Anolis sagrei: one gene and its partners. The protein of the gene in region 2 purifies or fractionates together with the protein of the main gene of each other region. This does not show direct contact. Links are inferred from orthologs where the notes say so. Each region holds a gene or a part of one and is shown on either strand. Other genes may lie near its edges.

Evidence for each region. Proteins that work in one complex are often made in the same cells at the same time.
Region 1: the proteins of SUV39H1 (region 2) and MECOM purify together in Homo sapiens (affinity purification with western blotting; 3 studies listed by BioGRID). This does not show direct contact. The link is inferred for Anolis sagrei from reciprocal best matches to the Homo sapiens genes SUV39H1 and MECOM.
Region 3: the proteins of SUV39H1 (region 2) and EHMT1 purify together in Homo sapiens (co-immunoprecipitation; 3 studies listed by BioGRID and IntAct, with this or other methods). This does not show direct contact. The link is inferred for Anolis sagrei from reciprocal best matches to the Homo sapiens genes SUV39H1 and EHMT1.

The regions. Positions count from the first base shown.
Region 1 is NC_090023.1:251,574,866-251,581,803, forward strand, and holds the start of MECOM (histone-lysine N-methyltransferase MECOM), read right to left. Parts: upstream 3,025-6,938; 5' UTR 2,791-3,024; coding exon 2,754-2,790; intron 1-2,753.
Region 2 is NC_090022.1:194,074,907-194,082,755, forward strand, and holds the start of SUV39H1 (histone-lysine N-methyltransferase SUV39H1), read left to right. Parts: upstream 1-4,811; 5' UTR 4,812-4,898; coding exon 4,899-4,917; intron 4,918-7,849. UniProt on the Homo sapiens protein: Histone methyltransferase that specifically trimethylates 'Lys-9' of histone H3 using monomethylated H3 'Lys-9' as substrate. Also weakly methylates histone H1 (in vitro).
Region 3 is NC_090031.1:9,330,035-9,337,059, forward strand, and holds the start of EHMT1 (histone-lysine N-methyltransferase EHMT1), read left to right. Parts: upstream 1-4,001; 5' UTR 4,002-4,047; coding exon 4,048-4,068; intron 4,069-7,025. UniProt on the Homo sapiens protein: Histone methyltransferase that specifically mono- and dimethylates 'Lys-9' of histone H3 (H3K9me1 and H3K9me2, respectively) in euchromatin.

The sequences.
Region 1 (6,938 bases), on a different chromosome or scaffold from region 2:
CCTTTCTCCCGCTCCCACCCCCCAAAATCCGCCCCAATTGCGGTCCTTTCCTCCCCTTCTTCCTGCCGCCCCGTTGCCAACTGCGAAGCAAAGGAAGGAGAAAAGACTGCCACGGAAAATGGAGTGGACACCGGGGCAGGTTTTCCAGAAAGTGGGGGTGGTCCGGCGCTTTTGGAAAAGGGAGGAAGAGCAGAAAGGAGAAAGAAAGGCGTTTCGGAAGCGAGGGAAAGAAACGGCTCTGAGCCGCCGCCGTAAATAAAACTCAGCGCCCGAAGTCAAAGCCTGGCTCGGGTGGCAGCGCTCCAAAGGGCCCACTTTCCACGCGAGATTCTCTCCCGCTCCCGCTCCTTCCAAAAAGCGCGCACCGGGAGAAAGAAGCCGAGAAAGAAGCCTGTGCCGGAGGAGGAGGAGGAACGAGGGGAGAGGGATCCACGCTCTCCAGGCAGGCACCCAGGAGGAGGAACACGCGCGAAAAGAAACCCGTTCGGCCAAGGAAACCCTCCGAAGGAGCCTGGCTCTCTTTCTCCCAGCGGGAGCACTTCTTGGGGGAACAAGGGCCAGCGACACGCGGTTCCCTGGCAAGCGTGGGAAGCAACGGGCCCGGAAAGACACGCAGCCATGGGTCCGGGAGGTTTGGAGAAAGTGGGAGGTGGAGGTGGAGGACGCCGAAGGAAAGGAAGGAAGGAAGGAAGGCGCAAAAGCGGGGGAAAGAGAAAGAGGATATTGATAGGTAGATAGATAGATAGATAGATAGATAGAGATAGGAAAATAGAGAGATAGGAAGATAGGTAGGTAGGAAGAGAGAGAGAAAGAAAAGTAGGAAGATAGGTATAGAGAGAGGAAGATAGAATATAGGTAGCTAGGAAGATAGATAGAAAGAGAGAGAGATAGGAAGATAGGTAGGTAGGTAGATAGATAGATAGATAGATAGATAGATAGATAGATAGATAGATAGATAGATAGATACACAGGAAGATAGGTAGGTAGGTAGGTAGGTAGACAGGAAGATAGGAAGGAAGGAAGATAGAGAGGGATATAGGAAGATAGGTAGGAAGATAAGTAGATAGATAAGAAGATAGATAGAAGATAGGTAGCTAGGAAGATATATAGATAGGAAGAGAGATAGGAAGACAGGTAGGCAGATAGGTAGGTAGGTAGGTAGGAAGGAAAATAGAGAGACAGGAAAATAGGTAGGAAGATAGGTAGATAGATAGGTAGATGATAGGTAGCTAGGAAGATAGGGAAGAGAGAGAGGAAAATAGGTAGGTAGAAAGATTGGTAGGAAGATAGATAGGTAGGAAGATAGAGAGATAGGAAGATAAGTAGGAAGATCGGTAGGTAGGTAGATAGATAGGAAGATAAATAGAAGATAGGTAGGAAAATAGGAAGAGAGAGGTATGAAGGTAGATAGGTAGGTAGGTAGGTAGGAAGATAGATAGGAAGAGAGAGAGAAAGATAGATAGGAAGGTAGGTAGGTAGGAAGATAGATAGGAAGACAGATTGGTAGATAGGTAGGAAGAGAGAGAGAGATAGGAAGATAGACAGAATAGTAGGTAAGAAGATATGTAGGTAGGAAGATTGATAGATAGATAGGAAGATAAATAGGAAGAGAGGTAGGTAGACAGATGATCTAGAAAGGAAGAGAGATGATAGAGGAGAGCCTCAGGTGGGCAAGGAGAGAGAGAGGATCACTTCTAGGGAATCAGAGGTCTTCTTTTCCTCTATAACTGACACACACCCCCACAAGCCTCGTCCTCCCACTCATAGAAAAGGTCTGCTATTTGGGGGAGATGACCCCTGACCTTTGGGCTGCTCCTGCAACTTTTCAAGCCCCCCTCCCCTTCCGCGGCCTCGCGTGGCGGGGCCCTTTTTGCACGTGGGAAGGAACAGAAAGGAAAAAACAGGGACCAGAGGGACCAGGCAAAGTTCCTGGACTTGATGCGGGGAAAAAGAGGGGAGGTCCTTCGGGGGTGGGCAGAGGCGTGGAGGGGAGGCATGCCCACAACCCCCCCCCCCAAGGGACCCCCAAAGACAGGGAACAACACAAGGAGAAGAGGGGGAAGCATCATGGGGGGGGGGGGGAGAGAAGCTGAGCTCTTATCCGCTGCAGCGTTAGCAGTCCTTCCTCTTCTTCCTCCTCCTCCTTCAAGACCTGCTTGAAGCGCGCCCCCGCCTCCTTCCCTCCCTCCCTCCCTCCCTCCCTCCCTCCGCGCTGCAGGTTGTTGTGCCCCGTGCGCGCTCCCGCTGCCCTCGCCTCTGGCTGAAACCAAGCCCGCAGCGCCCACTAGAGGCAGGCGGCGCCTCTGCACCCTTCTCCCTTTTTCTTCCCTCCAGCAGTTCTTTCCTCCCAACTTGCCACCCGGCTCTCTGAACTTTTGCTCAACTCTTTACTCCGGTGCGGTTGCTGAAGTTCAGCTGCGATCTTCTCCCCTCTAATCAGAAACCCCACGCAGGACAGGGAAGCCAAGGAGCCTTTCAAACGCAAGGAAAGACTGCCCTTAGCCGAGCAAAGAAAATGGACCGGGGGGAAAAAGAGCGGCGTTTGTTGTTGTTGTCCCGCCACCCGAAGAGTGGATGGAGGCTTTGCAAAGAGGGCCAGGGAGGGGTCTTAAAGGGTTGTGTGTGTGTGCAGAAGGGTCTCCCCCCTCCCTGCCCTTCCTCCCTCCTTCCAGACCCTCTCAACCCACTCCCCCCCCCAAGCCCTCCCCAACCCCGGGATGCCGCCAGCGAGAAAAGCGCGCTTTTGCACCTACTTGTGGCCAGTTTCCTCGCCCTGGCTTTGGATCGCATTGCTGCCCAGTCCGGTGGAGGTTGCTTGGAGGGAGGGAGGGGGCCAAACCGGAGAGGGAGGGGGGAGGAAGAAGAAGATGACCGGTGAGCCCCCCTCCTCTCTTTTCCCCCTCCTTCTCCTCCCTCTTGCTCTTTCTCTCTCTCTTTTTCTCCCTCTTTCTTTCGCCCTCCTCCACAAGCCACTCTTTCCTGCAACAGCCCCAAAGCTCGCTATCTCTCCAGCATTGTCAGTTTGGACACCTTCGCACATGCGCAACAGCGGCTTCTCTCTCTCTCCCCCCTTCCCTCTCCCTCCCCCCCCCCCCCCCTTTCGACAATCTCCTTTTCGCCGCCAAAAAAAAAAGTTTGGAGAGATCTTTCACTTTGGGATTTTAAAGGGAGGGAAGATTCTCCCAAAGCCTAAAGGGAAGCTTCCTCCCTTCCTTTGCCCAGAGAAAGTTGGAAGGACTCCGCTGTGTAGATGCCCCGCTTTCGAACCGCGTTAGAAACCGGGCAAGGCGTGAATGATGCCTGGATGCCAACTTCCTGCCTTTCCTTGCTTCTTGTTTGCTTTTTTGAGTCTTTTCCTTCCCGTCCGATCCAGCCTTTTTCAGTCAACACACTTTTATTTTATTTTATTTTATTATTATTTATTTTATTTTTATATTATTATATTATATTATATTATATTATATTATATTATATTATATTATATATTTTATTTTATTATTATTTTATTTTATATTTTATTATTTTATTATTTTATTATATTATTTTACTTTATTATTATTTATTTTATTATTATATTATATTATATTATATTATATTATATTATATTATATTATATTATATTATATTATATTATATTTGGTGCAGCCCAGATCCTAGACCTGGAAACCTCCCTTCTCTAAAGCTGGATCTTTGGACTTCAAATCCCACCCTCCAGATGCTTTGGACTTTAACTCCCATCATTCCTAACAGCCTCAGGCCCTTTCCTTTTCAGGAAGGGGCCTGTGGCTGTTAGGAATGATGGGAGTTGAAGTCCAAAGCACCTGAAAGGCCCAAGTTGTCCCATGCCCATATTATGCACCATATAGCTATGTAGCTCCTTACCTAGTTAGGTTCCTCCACTCTGCAGAATTAATCCAGTTTGACCTCACTTTCGCTGTGCTATGGAATAAAGAGTTGCAGTCTAGTGAGGTATCAGCACTCGTTGGCATAAAAGACTGGAAAACTACAACTCCCATCCTCCCCTAGCACTAAGGCAAAGTACTTACTGAGTCATGTTAAATTGCATCCATTCTACAGTGTAGGTGCGCCCTCAGCTTGTTTGTTTGGTGGTCTTTTTTTCTTCTCGTGGGAAAAAACACCCGTGGGTAGTTTTCTCGTCCTCTCCTACTTCCTAAGTCAGGTTAAACTGCATCCATTCTAAAGTGTAGGTGCGCCATCAGCTTGCTTGTTCGATGGGCTTTTTTCCACGCATGGGAAAAAAACACCAGTGGGTAGATGACAACAATTCCCGTCCTCTCCTAGCATTGAGGCAGGGCACTTGCTAAGTCATATTAAACTGCATCCATTCTACAGTGTAGATGCACCATCAGCTTGCTTGTTCGATGGGCTTTTTTCTACGCATTGAAAAAAAAAACACTCGTGGGTAGGTGACAACAACTCCCGTCCTCTCCTAGCATTAAGGCAAAGTCATATTAAACTGCATCTATTCTACAATGTAGATGCGCCCTCGAGATATTTATTTTCCTTCGCGTGGAAAAAAAACCCACTCGTGGGTAGACTACAACTACTCCCGTCCTCTCCTAGCATTGAGGCAGGGCACTTGCTAAGTAATGGTAAACTGCACCCATTCTACCCATTCTACAGTGTAGATGCGGCCACAGCTTGTTTGTTTGGCGGTCGTTTTTTTTCTTCTCGTAAGAAAAAAACACCCGTGGGTAGATGACAACAACTCCTGCCCTCCCCTAGCATTGAGGCAGGGCACTTGCTAAGTCATCTTAAACTGCATCCATTCTACAGAGTAGATGCGGCCACAGCTTGTTGGTTTGGTGGTCTTTTTTCTTCGCGTGGGGAAAAAAACACCGGTGGGTAGACGACAACAACTCCCGTCCTCCCTCCCATCAGAGAGAGCTGATGATGTGGAAAGAAGGGACAAATAGTTTCGCCTATGCTTGTCGATTTTGTTTGTTTGTTTGGTCTCCTTCCCTTTGCGTGGAAAAAAACACTCGTGGGTAAATGACAACATTGTTTCTTCTAAGGGAAATTGGGTTTTGGGTTCTCTCCTTTCCTATGAGGCAGAGAGAGGGGTGATGTGGAGAGAAGGGAAAAAGGGGTTCAGCTCAGCTTGTTATTAAGGATGTTTGTTTGTTTTATTTCCTTCACGCGTGGGTAGATAAGAGAATTGTTTCTTCTAGGGGAAAATTGGTTTTGGGGTCTCCCCTTTCCTAGGAGGCAGAGGGAGGGGTGATGCGAAGGGAAGAGGAGGTTCCAGTTTTACACCGTGTCAGGAGCGACTTGAGAAACTGCAAGTTGCTTCTGGCGTGAGAGAATTGGCCGTCTATAGGGACGTTACCCGAGGAATGTGTTACCATCCTTTGGGAAGCTTCCAATTGCTCCACCTGGGGCTCCAATGGGTTTAGGCATATGGCATTAATATTATAATACTCTGAAAAAGCTATACAGTCGTTCAATACACATAAACAAGGTACCGAGGTTACAATGGAAAAACCTACTTAATTTGAGAATTGACGGGAAGTCTTTCTACTAAAAATATATCGAATTATTGGTATTGCCTCCCTTTTTCTCTGTCCTTTTCTACCCTCTATGACACAGTAATGAAAGAAAAGAGTTTCCCATCCGTTTGAATGGCCGAGGAGGGCTTCTTCTTTGAGGCAGGAATCCAACCCGAAGGAAAATAGTATGTATTTCGCTTCCGAACAGCCTCTTCGCCCTCCATGGTTTTGCTCAGCCCACGCTAAGATTAATGCCCTCAATAAGATCGTTTGCAAAAGCCTCACGAAAGGAGATGACCATATGGTCAATGCAGAGCAATACAGTTTGATACCGCTTTAATTGCCAAGGTGTAGAATCCTGGCATTTGTAGTTTGATAGGACAGAAGTGATCCAGTTCCAGAAGTCAATGTACAGCAGCTGTTTCTTGGTCTCAGGCTGGATCTACACCGCCATTTAGTCTACTTTCCGAATCCGGATTATATGCGTCTACGCTGTTGTATAATCCGGTTCAAATCAGATAATCTGGATCCATAAGGCTTTGGGAAGAAGTGACCTCGTCCCAGAAGTGAATGCACAGCAACTGTTTCTTGGGCTCAGGCTGGATCTACACCGCCATGTAGTCCGGTTTCTGAACCCGGATTATCTGACTTGATTATATGAGTCTACACTGCCGCGTAATCCGGTTCGAAGCAGATAATCTGGATCCAGCACGCTTTGGGAAGAAGTGACCTACTTCCAGAAGTGAATGTACAGCAACTGTTTATTGGGCTCATGCTGGATCTACACCCTATTTAATCCACTTTCTGAATACGGATTATCTGCCTTGAACCGGATTATATGAGTCTACACTGCCGTATAATCCGGTTCGAAGCAGATAGCCTGGATCCAGAACGCTTTGGGCAGAAATGACTTAGCTCCAGAAGTGAATGTACAGCAACTGTTTATTGGGTTCAGGCTGGACCTACACCGCCATGTAGTCCGGTTTTTGAATCCGGATTGTCTGCCTCGAACCGGATTATATGAGTCTACACCGCCGTATAATCCGGTTCAAAGCAGATAATCTGGATCCTGGGCGCTTTGTGCAGAAGTGACCCCTTTCCAGAAACCAATGTACAGCAATTGTTTCTTGGGCTCAGGCTAGATCTACACCGCCATGTAGTCCGGTTTCTGAATCTACACTGCCATGTAGTCCGGTTTCTGAACCGAATTATCTGCCATGAACCTGATTATATGCGTCTACACTGTTGTATAATCCGGTTCAAAGCAGGGTCCAGAAGTGAACGTAGAGCAACTGTTTCTTGGGCTCAGGCTGGATCTACACCGCCATGTAGTCCGGTTTCTGAATCCGGATTGTCTGTCTTCAACCAGACTACATGGCGGTATAGCTCCAACCTGAGTACAAGAAATAGTTGCTGTACGTTCACTTC
Region 2 (7,849 bases):
CTTTACGCATGTACCCTTTGAACACCCGCTGTTGTACAAGTATCCCTTCTGCAGATTGAATAAAACTTCACTCTGGTGACATCCTGATTTCTGTCATGGAATATTAACAGTTAGAGGTGCTCAGTATCCATAGGTTCTTGGAAAACCTCAAGCTTTCAGCATCAGTGTCAAACTGCATTGTAGATACATCCATAGATGACAAGTCACCAGTAAAAACATTTAATGCAGAGGCTGTTCTGTGTTAAAAATATATTCTAGCAATCAGATTTAGCCCGGAAAAAGAGAAAAATGCAAGCTGATATGAAAGCAATTTACAAATATTTGAGGGACTGTGACATGTTTGAATGTGAAGGAATTATCCTTTGTACAGTATTGTGCTGCTCCTGAGATGAGGAGCCAAACCACTGGTTTCAAATTATAGGTAAGGAGATTCCAGATAAGAAGTTTGTAATAATACAGCTGTGAGACATTGGGCTCCCTTGGAAAGTGGTAAATTCTCCTTCGTTGAAAGTCTTTAAACAAGAGCCCGGTGGTTGCATGTCAATGTGATGCTTTCACTGTAGATTCCAGTGCTAGCAAGGCGATGGAGACAACTCTTGCGGCAACTTACTGTTGCAATCCAGAGCAGGGAACGAGGCCCTAAGATATCCACCACACTTGGCTGTGAAAAACAATCCTTTTTTATTGAAGAAAAATGGTTACAAAATAAAGGAAAAATGCAAGTCAAAAGCCACAGTAAAATCAGCAAACATGAATTTAAATGGACAAAGCAAAACCAAAAGCCTCACTGGGAAAATACTGGAATCTGTTAGCAATCCACTAACCGTACTTGATATCCTAGAAATCTTCCCAAACTATGACCAGGGAACCGGGAGAACTGCCAAGGTCTTCATCAATTCTGAAACGATGCCTGAACTGAGGCAATTAGCCTGGCGTATGGCAATTAAAACTCAAGAATTGGTTCCGTGAACCGCCCTTCTGTTTTGAAGCCAATGTTTTTAATTCTTGAATTCGGGAGGATCGACGCAAACTGAGTGTTTTACTTCTGTCTCCCCAAATTTGGCCCCTTCTGTTGTCATTACAGTTAACAGGTGCAGAAGGGAGGGAAAGTTCAAGGTCTCCCTCTGAAACATTCTCAGGAACACTGGTACTTTCATTTTCCAAACCTACAGCAGTTTCTTCCTCACTAATTTCAGGAGCATTGGCATCAAAAGGTACATTTCCACTAGCATCAGTAAATATACTTTCATTAGCATCAGGAGGAACAAACAGAGAATTAGGTTCAAGTTCAAACTCAGGCTGAACCCCAACACTTACAACTTTCATATTCTATATTTTTGTGTGAAGCTAATCTGGGAGAAGTCAGTAAATTTCAAAATTGTCTAACGAGATAATGGGGAAGTTGAACGGTATTGCTTCATAAGCCGTTGTGGTTGCAATTTTGTGTGTTCTCACTGAATTTAGACTTCTGAAAAAACAGCCATAGCATTTGGATGTAGATCATTAAGTAATTCTGGTGGCATAGTTCTGAGTCTTGGAGCCTTGTTTGTCTGCAAGAGCCTCCCTTGCTAGTGGTTGCTGAAAGAACATGTTTGGTTTACATAAATTATTCCTTACACAACACAGCATTCTCAGGCACTTCCTTCTTCTACTACTTTTTGGTTGAATGTAATAAATCAGTTAAGAACCTAGTCCCTGAGCTACAAAGAACCTAGCCCCTGAGGTAGGCGAATATGTTATTTTCAAAGGACTTCAACAATAATCCTGGCCAGTTCGAGGGCTTAAACTATTGCTGACCGATCAGACAAATATTCGTCATTTTAATCCTATAATTTTTTCTCTCCATTCATTGTTTCCCGCTTGACCCGCCTCCTCTCTTCCCATTGGCTGAGAGGCCAGAGCGACGCTGGCTCTCTGATTGGGCAAGGCGCAGCTGAGCTGGCCATGCCTCCCAGCCAGCGGAGGACTCCAACCAATCAGCGAAAAGCCAGCTAGGGGAGCGGGAGCAAGAACTTTGAACTTGACAGCTCTGTATTTCCTATAAAAACTGTGTTATTTTGCCTTGTGGCTCATGTCAGCTTCTGAGCAAAAGATTGCGGTTTGATATCTGTTCCAGCTGGAATGAAATAAACATCTCAGTGGCTTCTTCTTCAACTTAGTGAGATTTGGAAAAATAGGGAAAAATTTCTTTTGGGTGCTCTTGTCTCGCCAGGTGTCCAGATCCTCTTTGGTGGGTCTGGCTGGTCCTTGCCTCAGCAGGACCCCTTAAATTCAGGTTCGACATCACATGGAGGCACTCTGCCCAGGAGTTGTAAGGCAGCGGGGCCGAAGAGGTGTTGCTATGGCCCCACGCAGGTGTTACTATGGCCAGCAGTGGGCAGAATCCAAGAAGAGCATGGATGAGCTCTCTCTGTCAGCTCCAGCTCCCCATGCGGAGACATGAGAGAAGCCTCCCACAAGGATGGTAAAACATCAAAACATCTGGCCGTCCTCTGGGCAACGTCTCTGCTGACAGCCAATTCTTTCACATCAGAAGAGACTTGCAGTTTCTCAAGTCGCTTCTGACACTAAATAACAAGTGGATTACTTCAGGATGACTTTCTGAGCTGAAACTCGCTGCACTGAATGTCTTTGCTGAGGCACAGAATAAAGGTAAAGGTTTTCCCCTGACATTAAGTCCAGTCGAGTCCAACTCTGGGGGTTGGTGCTCATCTCCATTTCTAAGCCGAAGAGCCGGCGCTGTCCGTAGACACCTCCAAGATCATGTGGTCGGCATGACTACATGGAGCGCCATTACCTTTCTGCTGGAGCGGTACCTATTGATCTACTCGCATTTGCATGTTTTCGAACTGCTAGGTTGGCAGAAGCTGGGTCTGACAGCGGAAGCTCACACCGCTCCCCGAATTCGAACCTGCGACCTTTCGGTCAACAAGATCAGCAGCTCAGTGCTTTAACTCACTGCACCATCGGGGGGGGGGGTTCCTATATATATATATATATATATATAAATGGAGCCACATGACCTTGGATGTGTCTATATATATATGGAGCCCCTGGTGGCGCAGTGGATTAAAGCACTGAGCTGCTGAGCTTGTTGACCGAAAGGTCACAGGAACAACTGCTGTCAGACCCAACTTCTGCCAACTTAGCAATTCAAAAACATGGAAATGCGAGTAGATCAATAGGTACTGCTCCAGCAGAAAGGTAACAGCGCTCCAGGCAGTCATGCTGGCCACATGACCTTGGAGTTGTCTATGGACAACGCTGGCTCTTTGGCTTAGAAATTGAGATGAGCACCACATCCCAGAGTCAGACATGACTGGACTTCATATCAAGGGACAACCTTTACCATATATATATATATATATATATATATATATATATATATATATCTGAAAAACCACTGGATGAATTGACACCAAACTTGGACACAATGAAAAACACAGCAGAAGGGACTTTAAAAGCCAAACAAAAAACAAAACAAAAAACCAAAACGCAATATCACACATATATACACAAATATATATAGACACAAAATACATCTACACAGACCAAGCCACAGCAACGCGTGGCAGGGGACAGCTAGTGTGTGTGTGTGTGTGTGTGTGTGTGTATATATATATATATATATATATATGCACTGTCCTGGAGCGCCTGTTCCAGTGGCTCCAATTTTGTGTTTTGCACTGAGTTCATAGTCCTAAGTTGCAGGGACTTTGTATATAGGTGGCTTCCTTTGGCTGCATTCATAGGGCAAGCCACCTGTCAATTATAGTTAGGATCCCTGGTCCCGCCCCTCTCTGGGTTTTTTGGAGGGAAGGGGCCATCTTTCAGTTAGTCTCAGCAAAGGAAGTCAATGCAGAGGATGTATACAGACGTCCTCCTGTGCAAAGGCTTAGTCTGGGGGAGAACAGTCTTGAGAGCCTCTAAAGATTCCCAAAGGTTCCGGGGAAACAGCCTTACAGCCCTGAGGAATTCCGGAGGGAATTACAGCTCTAACCATCAAAGCAGCTAAGTCAGTGGTTCTCAACCTGTGGGTCCCCAGGTGTTTTGGCCTACAACTCCCAGGAATCCCAGCCAGTTTACCAGCTGTTAGGATTTCTGGGAGTTGAAGTCCAAAACATCTGGGGACCCCAGGTTGAGAACCACTGAGCTAAGTGATTACAGGCCTGTTGGTACGTCTACTTGGTTCTGAGACGCAGTTCAGCCGGTAGTGGATTCAAATCAGTTAGGTTTAGGTTCACAGCAGCCTGGGAGGAGCTAGAAAGGGGAATTTTCCTTTGAACAAGGTTTTTGAAGATAGTGCCTGTTCCCTGTGAACAAGATTGCAAGAGCTAAGAGACTGTTTAGAAAACTTTACAATTCTTGTTTGTTCATCAATAAAAGACTGTTATATTTAAGCTCAAGCCTCATAAAGACTGTTTAATAAGGGAAATTTCTCTAAAGGCTTCTTTTCGGGGGCCCTGGCTTCCCACTGGATCCAAGCCATACATCCTCTCTTAAAGGCACTTCATTTCAGGTCCAGTTGCGACAGAACACACACACACACTCACACATACATACACACCAACACTTTATATATTAAATGTTTGCGCGTGTAAAAACTGAAAAGAAAAAGAGCTCTCAGGGACTCCCAATTCCCCTTCACGCCCAGTGGCAGGAAGGTGCTGCCCAGCAATATAAATCTAGTTAGGGACGAGAAGGACGAGAAACGCTCCTTGACTTCCTATTGGGCGGGCGGCGGGGCTGAGGCTGAAGGGCAGCCAATCAGACAGCGCCACTGCTCCCGCCTCCCTCTCTGGCCCCGCCCCCAACTCGCCTCTCTTCCTCCAGTGGGATGAAAAGTTTCTGGCGGCCTCAGTGACTGGAAGGGGAGGGGGGAAAAAAAGAGGCGCAAGATGGCGGAAAATTTAAAAGGTGAGTGGAAACCGCCGCCGCCGCGCGCGCGCGCCGGGCCGGGCTAGCTTTGCGCGAGACCCCTCGTTTGGGAACCTGGGGTTCGGCGGGTGGAAGCCGAGAGCCAATGAGCGCTGCGGTCTGAGAGCGGCGCGAGGCGGAGGTTCGGCGGCGACCGTTACGGGGCGGGGAGCGCGCGAGGGAGGGAGTGAGGCGGCGCAGGACGTGGCAGAGAGCGGGAAAAAGGAAAGGCGGAAAGCGGATAGGGATAGGGAACCCTGAGGAGAGGGCAAGGGGAACGGGCAACCTTTGAGCGGGGCCACCTTGGCTGCGTTTCCCGCTCAGAGGATCCAATGTTGTTCCAAGTTCCTCACAGAGGCAGTTCATGTGCCTCCCTGTTCGACTCTATGCCTCTCCTCAGCAGACACGACGCTCCTGGAGACCCTTTTTGTGCCCTCTTCACATTTCCGCCCTCCTCATCTTTCCCCCTCTGGCGTGCTTTCCACCATGTGCGTCTATCCCTTAGGGTACTTCCACACAGCCCTATACTCCAGAATATCCAGGCAGAAAATCCCACAATATCTGCATTGAACTGGGTTATCTGAGTCCACACTGCCATATATTCCAGTTCAACGCAGATAATGTGGGATTTTCTGCCATGGATATAGGGCTGTGTGGAAGGGCCCTTACTCTGTATTGTCGAAGGCTTTCGTGGCTGGAATTACTGGGTTGTTGTAGGTCTTTCGGGCTATATGACCATGTTCTAGAAGCATTCTCTCCTGACGTTTCGCCTGAATCTATGGCAAGCATCCTCAGAGGTTTTGAGGATTCTTGCCATAGATGCAAGAGAAATGTCAGGAGAGAATGCTTCTAGAACATGGTTATATAGCCCGAAAAACCTACAACAACCCCTTACTATCCTCAGAGAGTAGGAGAACTCGTGGAACTCTTCAGGACAACCTTCTGACGTGAAACTCGCCTCACAATGATTTTGCTGAGGTACATAATAATAATAACAACAACTTTATTTATACCCCGCCACCATCTCCCCGAAGGGACTCGGCGTGGCTTACATGAGGCCAAGCCTGTCAAATACAAATACAACAATACATCGACAAACAAGCAAGCAAATAAAACAATATAAATAATACAGTTGAACATATAAGCAAAGCAATAACATGCAAAAGATTTAATGGCAGGGCCAGATGTAGATTAAAAGTTTAAAACCATGGGCGTGTACAGAGTAGGGTATGTCTAGGCATGGGGTTTTTAAAGTGTGATATGGGGGGATCAATCCAATGGATAAAGTGCTTCAGGGGACATATAGAAGGAAATTGGTCAGATAGGGCATTATTTCCTTTAATCAGGGAAGCCATGTTTTCAAGCTCCTCCTAAAGATAGCCAAAGTGGGGGCTTGCCTGATATCTTTAGGTAGAGAGTTCCAGAGTCGGGGCGGGGGGGGGGGGGGGGACACAAAATTTTGTTTGACCCACTCTTCTACGTCCAAGGGCCCTTCTACATATCTGTATAAAATCCCACATCTGTTTGGACTGGGTTATATGTCTGTTTGGACTCAGGGCCCTTCCACACAGCCATATAACCCAGAATATCAAGGCTGAAAATCTGCTTTGAACTGGATTATCTGAGCCCACACTGCCATATATTCCAGTTCAAAGCAGATAATGTGAAATTTTATTCAGCTGTGTGGAAGGGGCACAAGTCTGCAACAATAATAGCATATAAAACTTTGAAGGAGGGAAGATTGCTCCTGTTTCCAGGTTTGCAATCTAAAAACATTTTTAGCATTATAATTATTTCCCGGGATTCAGCAACAGGAGTGGAATAGAACTACTACATCACACTAGAGAATGAATCCACTTTGAATCTGTTTTCTGCCTCCAGCAGAATTCTGGGGTTTGTAGTTTAGGGAGGAAACTTTAACAGCCTCACTAAACTACAAACCCAAGAATTCTGCAGGAGGCAGAAACTGGATTTAAAGTGGATTCATTCACTAGTGTGATGAGGCCCCTAGTAGACATTGCCATTGACCAGTTCTTTGTTTGAGCCAATTGACCATGGTGGATCTTCCATCATTTATTAATGCTGACCATAGACAACCACACTGGTGGATCTTGAAGAACCACCAGAAATCTTGATTCCTCTTTCAAAGAGTAAAGAAGGGAATTGGCATCACCGGCAGTCCCCAATTTACAAACCACTCATAGTTAAGAATGGGGCTGAGACAACATGAAGTGACAGAAATCAACCCCCAAGGCCCTTCCACACAGGCATATAACTCAAAATATCAAGGCAGAAAATCCCACAATATCTGCTTTGACCTGTATTATCTGAGTCCACACTGCCATATATTCCAGTTCAAAGCAGATAATGTAGGATTTTATTCAGCTGTGTGGAAGGGGCCTCAGAAGGGAAACTGCATCCCGAAAGAGTTATCATGAGGACAAAGGTGTCTCAACTGAAGCTTCCTCACCAATCCTTGTAACCACAACAAGACACATTCTTCAAAAATTAATTACTTGCATATAATATTTTAAAGTCACCATGATCACAAATATCTGGAGTGGATAATGTTGTGGTGATGCCAAATCACAATGATACCTAACCTTTCACCCAGATCGTATTTAGTGCTGATCTTCAGCCGAGTGTTTTCAACTTTATTGGCTTGAAAAGAATGAAGATTTTGCAGGTGAAAGGCAAACTGTTTGAAACAAATTTCCTAAAGGCTTTGCTAGGTTTTCCAGCTGTGGTACACATAATTTCATTATATATATATTTTATTTTTGTGTCAGGAGTGACTTGAGAAACTGCAAGTCACTTCTTGTGTGAGATAATTGGCCATCCTTAAGGATGTTGCCCAGGGGACGCCGGGATGTTTGATGTTTTACCATCCTTGTGAGAGGCTTCTCCCATGTCCCCGCATGGGAAGCTGGAG
Region 3 (7,025 bases), on a different chromosome or scaffold from region 2:
CCCTATGACTTCCTCTCATGTATTTATACATGGCTATCATGTCTCCTCTCAGCCGTCTCTTTTTCAGGCTAAACATGCCCAGCTCTTTAAGCCGCTCCTCGTAGGGCTTGTTATCCAGACCCTTGATCATTTGAGTCACCCTCCTCTGGACACATTCCAGCTTGTCAATATCTCTCTTCAATTGTGGTGCCCAGAATTGGACACAATATTCCAGGTGTTGGAATATTGTCATACAGCAGTTAAGGGGACACTTGCAGGAACGATGGGATGCAAAGGTCATTTCATATCTGGTATCTCCCAGATGTTTCCAAATAAACGGTCTCACCCGAATGCTGGCTTCTACGGAGACAGTAGTATTTATTTTTGTATGGAAACTATGATAATCGGTGTGAAGCCGAAGCATTCCTGGCACGGCGAAGAGCAGAGCATTTGGAGCCTTGAAATGAGACGAGATTCCCTCCGAATGCTGATTAATCCACCTGATTATAATCCCTGCAAAGCTCGCCTGCTGTTACCACTCGCATCGGAAACCCATTTTCTCTCGATGGGCAAAGGAAGGCCGTGATCGGCATAATTTGAGGCTTTATTTGATTTATTTCTCCCTCCGGCATTGAGAATCCCCTCCATCTTTCGCAAGGAGAGAGTTAATTGCCGCCTCGTCGTAACCCGTTGCTTGTTGTGTTGTTTGTCCCCTAAAGAGGCGGTGTTCGTCCGCTTCTCAAAAATTGAGCTGCAAGAACAACCAAAATGCATTCCATATTTGCCGAAAAGGTGGATATGGGATCCTTTTCTTGTTTTTCTATTTAAAGCTTTCGTTTGACCTCTGAATGAACAGCTGGCTCGTGATCTTTCCTTTTGCGTCAAATTACAAAATGGGATTTCCATGATTTGCCAGCCTTGCAGTCCAGGTCTTGTTTGAATCAATCCAGATTCTTCAAGAAGTGTTGCGTTTGGATACATGAGGATTTTCAGAGTGTTTCGTCTTATGTTCGTTACAAGAACACAAGACTGGGATTGTGGCGCAGCTGACTGGGAGTCAAGATCAGGAGTTCAAAGCCAGCCCGGGTCGGAGTGAGTGTCTGACCAATTGTGTAGCTTGCTGTCAACCTTTGCAGCCCGAAAGACATTTGCATCTGTCAAGTAGGAAATTTAGGTACCGCCTATGCAGGGTGGTTAATTTAACTAATTTATGATGCCATAAAAATCTCCAGCAAGCATGCAAAGAATGAGGAAGTACTTCATCAGTGTCACAAATGGACGGTGAAGCAACAGCTCCCCTGGTGGCCAGAATACCCTCATGAAAAGTTAATCTGTTAAGTAGGAAATTTAGGTACCACCTATGCGGGGAGATTAATGTAACTAATTTATGATGCCATAAAAATCTCCAGCAAGCATGCAAAGAATGAGGAAGTACTTCATCAGTGTCACAAATGGACGGTGAAGCAACAGCTCCCCTGGTGGCCAGAATACCCTCATGAAAAGTTAAATTGCCTCTGTGTCTGTCTATATATGTTGTGTGTCTATGGCAAGGCTCCACAAAATTTTTATACAGAGGGCCAGGTCATAGTCCCTCAAACCGTTGGAGGGCCGGATTATAATTTGAAAAAAAAAAAACATGAATGAATTCCTATGCACACTGCACATATCTTATTTGTAGTGCAAAAAAACACTTTAGAACAATACAATAATTAAAATGAAGAACAATTTTAACAAATATAAACTTATTAGTATCTCAATGGGAAGTGTGGGCCTGTTTTTTGCTGATGAGATAGGATTGTTGTTGTTGTTATTATTATTATAGGATATCATGAATAAACAATGTCAAAAATACTGACAATATTATTAATATTTATTAATTTATTTACTCACCCCTGGGGGTCTCAACATTAAATGGCGTACATACATGTGAAAACTAAAACCTAATTTCTAAGTAATAACATATAACTATAAATTACGAACCTTAGCCATCTTAAAACAACATCATTTAGACGTTACAACAGAACAATTGGATTGAAATTGAATATTAATATCAATTATCTCATAGAACATATGAAATAGGAAAAATATATAATGATTAATGTCATTATTTTTAAAATACACCCTTGAAAGAAAATGATTATTCAATCAATTTCTCTATTAAGTACATTATACTTTTACTACTCTATTATTTTAAAATATATTAATATTAATGCATTATAGAAATATTATTAATTATACACAACATAATGTTAACCAATATATTAATTATACCATCATTTGATTAAAAATACAATGTTAATATATTATATTTGTATTATAATAGCAATATTATTTTATAATATTTATATCAATTATATATATATATATATATATATATATATATATATATATTGAACCAGTTTTCATTTTAAAAAGATAATATATTTCTATTAAATTACTTTATAATATCAATTATTACATCATTTATATATATTCATCAGACCATTAATTCATTTCAAAGTATGTTAATATATCATGTCGATTATATTACTGATTATATTATATAATATTAATTACATAGAAAGATATGTAATATATATTAATATAATTATATATTAGTTATGTATAGTAACATATTAATTATAGCATTTTATATATAATATATATAATAGTATTGTTGTTGTTGTTCGTTCGTTCAGTCGTCTCCGACTCTTCGTGACCTCATGGACGAGTCCACGCCAGAGCTCCCTGTCGGCCGTCACCACCCCCAGCTCCTTCAAGGTCAGTCCAGTCCCTTCAAGGATGCCATCCATCCATCTTGCCCTTGGTCGGCCCCTCTTCCTTTTGCCTTCCACTTTCCCCAGCATAATTGTCTTCTCTAGGCTTTGCTGTCTCCTCATGATGTGGCCAAAGGACTTCAACTTTGTCTCTAGTCTCCTTCCCTCCAGTGAGCAGTCGGGCTTTATTTCCTGGAGGGTGGACTGGTTGGATCTTCTCGCAGTCCAAGGCACTCTCAGAACTTTCCTCCAACACCACAGCTCAAAAGCATCGATCTTCCTTCGCTCAGCCTTCCCTAAGGTCCAGCTCTCACATCCGTAGGTGACTACAGGGAATATAAATTAATATACATAATTATATATATAAATTAAACCAGTTTTCATTTTAAAAATGCGAATATATTTCTATTAAATTATTTTATAATATCAATTATTACATCATTTATATATATTCATCAGACCATTAATTCATTTCAAAGTATGTTAATATATCATGTCGATTATATTAATAATAATATATAATATTATATTAATTACATAGAAAGATATGTAATATATATGTATATTAATATATAATTATATATTAGTTAAGTATATTAACATATTAATTATAGCATTTTTATATATATAATATATATAATAGTGTTATTATATAATATATATAATAGTGTTATTATATAATATTATAATATTAATGACATAGAAAGTTAGTAATATATATATGAATTAATATATAATTATACATTAGTTGTGTATATTATTACATTAATTACAGGATTATTTTATATATTAATATATATATATATATAAATTAAAACATAAGTCTTTATATTAATCATATACATTAATACATTAATGATAGCATTATTATATTAACTGTACATTAATATATAGATCTCTATATATTAATATAAAATTATATATATTTATGTTAAAAATAAAATTATATATAATTATATATAATATATATAATTTAACATATAAAATTATATATAGTTATGTTTATATATATATTATATACAATAATATATATATATATATATATGTATATATATATAAATACCATTATTTCATTATTTCATTTTCTCTTTTTCCTCTTGCTTTTTGCAACTCCGCCATGTTGTACGGAAAAAGCCCCTTCCCACCCACTAGGCGCCGCCATGACAGCGTGCGTGGGCTCACTTCCGGACAGCGCGCGCCGGCTCCCCGCTGGCCAATGAATGGCCGGGAAGGCGGGGCCAAGAGGGAGGGCCGCGCGCACAGGAGGCTTCGAAAAAGGGGGCGGGGCTTGCGCTCCGAGGCTGCCCGGGCCATGGCTACAGTGGAGTCGAAGGTGAGTGCAAAGCGCCGGCCGCATCCACTTCTCTTCAGGCGCGGGGGGAGGCGGGGATGGCCACTAAGCGAAAGCTGGGATTGAAATACAACGGGCTGCGAATTGGTATCTCCCAAAATGAAGCGCCTTCCACCCGAACTCTGCCGTTGCTCCTCCCCGCTCCCCCTCTGGCCTTCATGGTTCAGCCCATCCTCTATGAGGAAAGGCTGACGCTGGGCCGCTCCCATTGTGTGGAGAGGGGGAGGAGGGTTTAAATCAGAGCAACCCGGAACCCTGCATAACCAAAACAGAGTTATTCCCCGCCATTCCACAAACGCATGAAAGCCATGCTGATTCCGGGGTTCGCTGTATTGCTATGGTTATGCAGAGTCCCGGGTGGAGATGGCGGCTCCCCAAGCTCTCTTGGCGCATTGCCATGCTCGGTACGGGGCCTGGGCGGAGGGGGCGTGGCCAGTCAAACAAGCAGGGAGGGCAGATGGAAATAGTCCTGAATATTATTCAGAGTGCGGGGCCCCGCCGTCCTTATGGGCCATTCAGCTTGCGGGCCTCTCAGAGTTCCTTTTATGAGAGTTCATTCATTTTTTGCTGTTTCCAGAAGGCTGGTTGAGTTACTCAATTGGGAGGAATCTTCAATTTAACTATCTAATGATCTATAGATAGATCAATTCCACCCAAACCCCTCCAGGAAAAACATTTCATCATATCAGGTATTTGTGCCAAGTTTGGTCTAGATTTATCTTTGTTTGGGTTCACAGTGTTATCTGGATTTAGGTGAACTACAACTCCCCCAAATCAAGGTGAATTTTCCTCAAAGATCTCCAGTATTTTTTGCTGGTCATGGAGGCCCTGTGTGCCAAGTTTAGTCCAATTCTATCTTTGGTGGAGTTCAATGTGCTCATTGATTGCAGATGAACTATAAATCCCAGTACCTGCAACTCCATAATGTCCATGCCAATTCCCCTCCAAACTAACCAGTATTCGAATTTGGGCACATCGGGTATGCACGCCAAGTTTGGTCCAGATCCATCATTGTTTGCCAATTCTATCTTTGGTGGAGTTCAGTGTGCTCATTGATTGCAGATGAACTATAAATCCCAGTACCTGCAACTCCAGAATGTCCAGGCCAATTCCCCTCCAAACTAACCAGTATTCGAATTTGGGCACATCGGGTATGCACACCTAGTTTGGTCCAGATCCATCATCGTTTGGGTTCATAGTGGATATATTATTATTATTATTATTATTATAGTGGATATAGGTGAACTACAACTCCCCCAAATCAAGGTGAATTTTCCTCAAAGATCTCCAATATTTTTTGCTGGCCATGAGGGTCTCTGTGTGCCAAGTTTAGTCCAATTCTATCTTTGGTGGAGTTCAGTGTGGTCATTGATTGCAGATGAACTATAAATCCCAGTACCTGCAACTCCATAATGTCCATGCCAATTCCCCTCCAAACTAACCAGTATTCGAATTTGGGCACATCGGGTATGCATGCCAAGTTTGGTCCAGATCCATCATTGTTTGGGTTCATAGTAGATATTATTATTATTATTATTATTATTATTATTATTATTGTGGATATAGGAGGACTACAACTCCCCCAAATCAAGGTGAATTTTCCTCAAAGATCTCCAGTATTTTTTGCTGGTCACGGGGGCCCTGTGTGCCAAGTTTGGTCCAATTCTATCTTTGGTGGCGTTCAGTGTGCTCATTGATTGCAGATGAACTATAAATCCCAGTACCTGCAACTCCAGAATGTCCAGGCCAATTCCCCTCCAAACTAACCAGTATTCTAATTTGGGCACATTGGGTATGCACGTCAAGTTTGGTCCAGATCCATCATGGTTTGGGTTCATAGTGGATATATTATTATTATTATTATTATTATTATTATTATTATTGTGGATATAGGTGGACTACAACTCCTCTAAATCCCTCCAAAGACCTCTAGTATTTGTTGTTGGTCATGAGGGTTCTGTGTGTCAAGTTAGTTCCATTGGTGGAGTTCAGAGTGCAGTTCTTGGATTGCAGGTGAACTATACATCCCAGTACCTGCAACTCCAAAATGCCCAGGCCAATTCCCCTCCAAAATTAACCAGTATTCAAATTTGGGCACATCGGGTATGCACGCCAAGTTTGGTCCAGATCCATCATTGTTTGGGTTCATAGTGGATATATTATTATTATTACTATTATTATTCTTATTATTATTATTGTGGATATGGGTGGACTACAACTCCTCTAAATCCCTCCAAAGACCTCTAGTATTTGTTGTTGGTCATGAGGGTTCTGTGTGCCAAGTTAGTTCCAGGTCCATCATTGGTGGAGTTCAGAGTGCGGTTCTTAGATTGCAGTGACTACACCTCGTAGAAATCATGGTGAATTCTCCCCAAACCTCTCTAGTATGCTCAGTTGCTGATCAGTTCCTCTGTTTTCTGTGTGCTATAGAAAATAATAGGAAAAGGTTAAGGGAGAGGCAGTGGGCGAGGTCATGCAAATTCCACATCAATGGAGAGAGTCAGAAACACTGGGATGTCTGTGGTGGAGGAAACACATAAAATTTAGGATGGATTTGTCTCCTAATGAAAGCCTTCAATTGGGTGGTAGACAATGTTGTGTTTGTGGAGGACACTGGCCGGGCTCTTGAACATGTTTACAATAGCCCGTCCCCGCTTTTGTCGTTTACCTATTACAGTACCGTACCCAAATGCCGGTCCTATCTTATTTCGATTTGTATCAGTCCTGACCCAGCCTTTTTAATTGTCTTGACCCATTCCTTTCCCATGCCCTAACAAATAGACATAAAGAGCAGGCAGGATTTTTTCTTTTAATATTTATGTGTTGTTGGGTAATTTCATGTTACTGTTATTTTTTGTTTATGTTGTGACTCTGTTTGTTTTGATGTTGTTGCTTGGAACCTGCCCTGAGTCCCCCCGGGGATATAGAGCTGTATATAA